Linked DNA regions of Mus musculus. The protein of the gene in region 1 interacts with the protein of each later gene in a biochemical or structural test. Links are inferred from orthologs where the notes say so. Each region holds a gene or a part of one and is shown on either strand. Other genes may lie near its edges.

Region 1 (3,912 bases):
ATAAAATTTATTTAATTCAGATTTTAGTAAATAAAGAATTATAATTTACTTGTGGATTAAATAAAAACTAACTTTCACAGTACCTCCTGTAGCCCTAAAGTTGATAGTGCAAAGATGTTTGATAGAAATAGTTGAATATTCAGACTGTTGTCCTCCGACACTGTGGCTTGTTGAGTCTAGTGGCTATGCAGAGGCCCAGGGGGCTCTTTATTTGGGATATGAGTGAGTTTGAAAGTACTGGAAACTTTAAATCCTTACTTTAGAAAGAATCTATAGCTAGGCTGTCTATTAATAGTATATCTATCAGTTCACCGGAACTAAATTTCTCAACCATTTTGGAACATTAACCAGCAACTGAATTTGCACTCATTAGATGTGGAGTCAGATCGAGACGCGTTTGCAAGCGCCTGGGAAGGACCTTTAGATGTGTACTCCAGACACGTAGCAGAAATTTCCCCCAAAAGACCGTCACCTGTCATGTACTGCAAAATAGTTTTAACATACAGTCAATTCAATCATCTTTAAGGATAAGTTCTTAACTCGGATTCTAACTTAAAATCTTTAGTCGACAATACAAATGAGATGTGACAGCTCCATGTTCTTATTACAGGCTTGTTTGGGAAGTCAGCCCCTGCTCTGTACTCGGTATTAGAAGCAGGGTGCTGGAAGGTGGTTGCAATCTTAAGATGTGAGGTTTTTGTTAAAAGGAGACAGAAAGCAGCTAAAAGTCAAGTCACACACCACAGGAGATGTCCCCTTGGGACCACAGCCCTTGAATTTGTGCCGTTAGTATCCTTCGGTCAATTACTGATGACCCAGATTAGCTGCTTGGTCCCTGCTAGGTAGGCCTAGAAGGGACCTGCCGACTGCCTGTGTGAGCTTGCTTGTCACTTCCTGCCAAAGGACTGGCTTGTCACAGACTGAAGGGCCTAGATTTCTCTTCTCAAATACTGAAGCTTCATCTCTGAACAGCCAACCCTGTCCCCACTGCCTCCACACCTGTGGGTTCAGCTGACCATAGAACATAACTATCGGAGACGTATTAGGCCTGTACTGACCCTGAGCAGTAGTCTGTCTTCGTCATTCCCTAGACAGTGCAGGATAAGTTGTTTGTGGAAGATTTCCTTTGTGTGAAGCATTGTAAGCCATCCAGCGGTGATTTAAAGTACACCAGAATTTGTGCTGTGTGTTCTGTTAAATCAGCCATTCTGTTATAGGGATCGAACATGTAGGATTTGAAGTCTGGGGGATAGGGAGGGCTCTGCAGCCAATCCCCCGTGGATGCAGGAGGATAGCTGTATATGTCTGAAAGATGCTCTAACTCTTGTACAATACACTGAAGCTGTTTTGGGGGGCTAGGGTGAGTGTCAGTGGGGTCTGTCCTGAAGATGGAGGAAGACTTCTAGTATTGGTTGCTTGTTCCTATCATTGTTTGACACAGATGTCTTAGTCGGTGCGTGGACCACAGTGAGGGTTGGACTGTCAGAGGCATGGCTCTGAATACCCCTTCTCTTCTTACATCCCCCCCGCCCTCCTTTCAGGGATGTGTCCTCGGAATCAGACAATAACATCAGGCAGATCAACCAGGAGGCTGCACACCGACGCTTCCGCTCTCGGAGGCACATTAGTGAAGATTTGGAGCCTGAGGCCTCTGAAGGCGGTGGAGAAGGCCCTGAGGTATGATGTCCAGAGATGCTGTCGAACTAAGTAGCTCCATCTTCCAACGTTCCCCAGGGTGATTTTGTACCTTATTTTTTTCCCCTCTCGGTTAACTGTGTATTGCATGTGACGATTGCAGCCTCATGACTAACTGATTTCCCACCTGAGTATTAGTGAACTTAGAAAACGCTTGTGAAACCAACGTTTGACCAAACCCAGTGACTCGTAGAAATATCAAGGGGAGAACATGATTCTGGTGTGAAGGTCTTATATGCCACCCCCCCCCTGGGCCCCCGGGGACCTAACCAATCTCATGACACAACACTAAAGTTGTCATTTTGAGGAATGGAGGGAGCTCAGTCACTTGTCTGGGTCTCATGGGCAAGTTTCTAATGAGTTGCTTGACATCTTGGGAGAGATTACCCAAAAAATGTACAATCTGAGTTGATTGGAATATTGATAACTCTTCTCTATAACCAGTTAGCAATGTGTTACTGGAAAAAAGAGATGAAGTAAGCAACAAGTCAGAAGTGATCTTAACTTGATGCTGATGACTGGTCCTTGGCTTGACCTCGTGTTAGAAAGGTCATTCACAAAAACCTTTCAGTGACCAGCATTAGAACAGCAAGCTAGTGGTTTCATAGTAGGGCCACTGAACGTTCTGCAGAACTAAGCCATTTTAAGAAAGAAAGAAAGAAAGAAAGAAAGAAAGAAAGAAAGAAAGAAAGAAAGAAAGAAAGAAAGGAAGGAAGGAAGGAAGGAAGGAAGGAAGAAAAAAGAAAGAGAGAAAGGAAAACTATATGAGAATTGCTTGTAAATTCTTGGGGTGTTTCTAATCCATTTGTAACACAGGCTGGCAAAAAGCTGCCACGGTGGGGTGGGCGTGTATGTTGACAGGAGTCCATGGCGGGGTGGGCGTGTATGTTGACAGGAGTCCACGCGATTGTGGCCACTGGACCTGCCTGCCCCCTCACACTATGTTCACATCTTTATGGACTGCTCACTTCAGAAATTTGCTCGCTCTGAAGTTTCCTGGCCTGTTCATTGGGGCAAAGGCCCTTGTCGTCCTTGTGCTGATCCTGAAGCGTTTGTGTCTCGTGCTAAGTAGGGGTTAATCAAGAGTCTTCTACTCCCAGTCAGTTCTGGCCCTCCGAAGAGTTTCCCTCTTTACCTGAGGCAATTCTATATGAAAATTGGCCCTGGCAGGTTGGGGAAAACAAAAAAGTTGTTCTTTTAGAAAGAAGGGGGCGTGTCACCAGCCTTTTCTTGTTTGATGGTTATGAATGTTGTGTGTTTTATTAGAAGGTAGACAGGTAATTTCCCAGATCCTAGCACTTATCCTAGTGTCTGATTCCTCCATAGCCTTGGGAGACCATTTCAGAGGAAATGAACATGGCAGGAGATTCTCTCAGCCTGGCTCTGCCCCCACCGCCTGCCTCCCCAGTGTCCCGGACCAGCCCCCAGGAGCTGTCGGAAGAAGTGAGCCGAAGGTTGCAGATCACTCCGGACTCCAACGGGGAACAGTTCAGTTCTCTGATTGTAAGTCATGGTATTGTTAGAAAAGCTGGACACCGGTGGTCAGTCCTTTGTTGTAGCTTCTGAGGATGTTCTTCTATGCAGATAATAACCAAGGCCATTGGTTCTTGACCTACAGGTCATGACCCATGTAGGGGTCAAACTACCCTTTCACAGGGGCCACATATCAGAAATCCCACCTATTGGATATTTACATTATGATTCATAACTGTAGCAAAATTATAGTTGTGTAGTAGCAACAAAATAATTTCATGTTGGGGTCACCACAGCATGAGGAACTGTGTTAAAGGGCATTGGGAAAGTTGAGCGCTACTGGCCAAGAGTGTTCTACTTCCAGTCAGTTCAGGCTCTCCAAGGAACTTCCGTCTTTACAAGAAGGAAATTTAGCCCTGGCAGGTTAAAAATATATATATATATATATTGCTCTTTTAGAAAGAAGTGGCATGTTACCAGCTTTTTCTTGTTTGTAAAAAATTCAAAGGAATAAGATTCTGTGGATTTTGTAAGTTCTAGCTTTAGCCTTGTAGGATCTTGTTCCTGTCCAAAGACTCATGAAAACAGTGTCTCTGCCATGAGGCCATTTCCTGGTGAGAATCCGGAGCCCCAGAGCCTCCCAACCAGTCTTGTAAACTCCCACTCTCCACACCTCTACCTTCCATCTCACAAACAAGGAGAACGGATATTTAAGTGATTGTCCCTGGCAAAGCCCTGGCAAAG
Region 2 (2,720 bases), on another chromosome or scaffold:
GTCTGTAAGGAGTGAGCAGATAGAAAGGAGGACTTTCGAGATGGTTAGGGCTGGGCTCCAGTTGTCTTTCAATATGTCCAAGCAAATAACTCCTTGGCTATTAATATTACAGTGATAAATTCTTGTACGAAATGTAACCTAAAAATAAGGCAGTTGTCAAGCAGCATTCATGTAGGAGGCATTATGACATTTCAGGTAGACGCTGTTGAAGTGAGGCCACACTCAATTCTCCATCTCATTTTACAGCAGTACCCACTGCCAGATACTTCTTTACATTTTTTCTTTTCTTTTTTTTTTTTTTGTTGGTTTTTTTTTTTTTTCATTTTTTCTTTTCTTGATCAGGCTAGTCTGGTACCATATATCCCAAAGTAGCTGCAAATTTTTGATCCCTCTGCCTGCTTCTGTTTCCAGATATGTGCTACTAGTAACATCTGGCTTAATTTTAATGTTCTAAATATGACTATGTCTTAAGTTTGGATTGTTAGTTGTTTGCTGACCTCTTGTGTTAGCTGGAAGTAATACACTGCTTCGGAGTGTGCGTAAAATCTAACAAGCTAGACAATAACTAGCACAGTTTTAAGCATTTACATCTAGAAATGCCTATTGCCTACTGAGGAGCCAACCCAACCAACAGTCATCACATTCACTTAAAACTGGCAAACAATACACAGAAGGAAGCTGAGCTCTTCTGCCACACAGATCTAGACTGTACCGCAGTACACACAGCTGTTACTAACATGCTTTAACAGGACAGCAGCACACAAATGGAAGACTCTAGCTTTTGTGATTACAATGAAAACTTGATCTCTCTCAAGGAACAGTTAATGTCAGGAGACACTGGAGACTCCTTACCTTTGGAGGCTTGAAAGGATACTCTGGTGTAAAAGTAATGTCAAGGAAGAATACTCCACCTTCATACACAGACCCTGGAGGACCCAGAATGGTTGATCTCCACTCATAGATGTTGTCACCCTTGGGACCAGCACTGTGAAATAATACAGGAGCAGATAAAGACATGGTGACATTGCATCAGAAAAGGGAAAAAAACCCTCCCCTTATCCTTTTGGTTTAATGTCTGGGTTCTCTTCATAAAGAATATGGTAGTGAGCCAGGACAGAAGAACACCAGACCCATTCTAAACACTCTAGCTGCAGCTAGACATGAACTTTCTTCAACTCTCAAGCGTAAGGTAAACATCAATTAAAGATTCGTTTCTTAGAATATAAGCCGCTGACTATTATGATTCAAAGAAACTCAGGGCAAATCTCAGTACCTGTGGCTTCTCCAAACACTTCTCACCCAGGCCAGGGTGAGACCTGGGGACAGGGCTTCTGCTTCCCTTCCCCCACCTTCTCTTCATTGTACTGCTCAGCTATTTTGACTATGGCTCTCTTGGTCCACACCGCAATCTTGAGCTCTTGTTTCACTCTTGGTCAGCTTGCCCCACCCCCCTTTTCTTGTCCTCCCCATCCCCATGCCCAATAACTCCATTCAGTCTGTTAGCTTGGCTCAGTCTGGACTCTCCCAATGTCTCTGCCTGTTCTCCCCTTTATCTACAATAAAATCTAACCATACCTAGGAGTGATCATGTCCTCATTTTTCATTCAGTGACAAGTTTTCTCATTGCTGCATCATTTCTGGTAAATAACAAGAATTTTTGCCCTAACTAAAGTACTTGGCAGAGTTTTAAACTCCACACTGACATAAAGACATACAACATTTGACTTCCAGCCAGCCTACACACACACACACACACACACACACACACACACACACACACACACTTGCTTTAGCTAGAAGATCTTCTGGCCCTCTGAGACAGAGTAGCTCAAACTGTCTTCAAAGTCACTCAGCCCTCACAAATGCTGGGTCATGGGTAATTCCAAGTTGGTGCCTATACTTCCTACCTTATAAAAATTAGTGAGTGAGAGAGGCGAATGTCAATGATGTAATCAGTTTTCACTTCAGTGTTAAACTAAACACGAACTTTCATTAGCCATTAACCAAACCCCATTCTTGTTAAATACAATATACTTGGTTGTACCCTTACTCGGCTATACCATCCTTCTAAAATATTGCATTGGCTTCCAGAGTGCTCTGTATTCAAGTACCTTAGCAACAGCAGTAAAACTTGCACTCCGATTCTAAGACCTATAGAGTAGTAATACTCTTTGTAGTAGTAATTTCTTACTACTAAGGTAGGGTACAGGGAAAGACTAAAAAATGATTTATTTCTATTTGTGTATCCCCCCCGCCCCCACACTGCCTGCTCTTACAAGTCAGAGGGCATGAGATCCCTGGAGCTGGAGTGACATGTGGTTGTGTGCTGCTTGACACAGATACTGGAAACTGACTGGATCCTCTGGAAGAGAATCAGGTGCTCTTAACTGCTGAGTGATCTCTCCAGCCTCCAACAAGATCTTAACCAGCTCTCTCCTAGGAATATACTATGATCCCCCTAGTAAAAAGTTACCTTTGCTTCTTCGTTTACTGAGAACAGAATGGGTTCTCAATTATCAAAAGTTAGCCTGTTTGTGTCCCTTGCTTCCAGTGGGATGGTCACTAGGAGGTTGGGCCTTTGGGGACAGTCAGGTCAAGAAAGTAGAAGTCATTATGTATAAGCTTAGTGTCCTAAATAAGACCTCACCACCAGAACATTTGCTTCTTACCTGCCGAGGATTAGTGCAACAAGACAGCTGTCTGGAAACTAAGAAATGGTT

Evidence for each region. The genes of interacting proteins can lie anywhere in the genome.
Region 2: the proteins of Nedd4l (region 1) and Ube2e1 form a complex in vitro, tested with the Homo sapiens proteins (2 studies listed by BioGRID). The link is inferred for Mus musculus from reciprocal best matches to the Homo sapiens genes NEDD4L and UBE2E1.

The regions. Positions count from the first base shown.
Region 1 is NC_000084.6:65,159,974-65,163,885, forward strand, and holds part of Nedd4l (E3 ubiquitin-protein ligase NEDD4-like), read left to right. Parts: intron 1-1,541; coding exon 1,542-1,677; intron 1,678-3,021; coding exon 3,022-3,198; intron 3,199-3,912. UniProt on the Homo sapiens protein: E3 ubiquitin-protein ligase that mediates the polyubiquitination of lysine and cysteine residues on target proteins and is thereby implicated in the regulation of various signaling pathways including autophagy, innate immunity or DNA repair.
Region 2 is NC_000080.6:18,284,284-18,287,003, forward strand, and holds part of Ube2e1 (ubiquitin-conjugating enzyme E2 E1), read right to left. Parts: intron 986-2,720; coding exon 853-985; intron 139-852; coding exon 1-138. UniProt on the Homo sapiens protein: Accepts ubiquitin from the E1 complex and catalyzes its covalent attachment to other proteins. Catalyzes the covalent attachment of ISG15 to other proteins. Mediates the selective degradation of short-lived and abnormal proteins.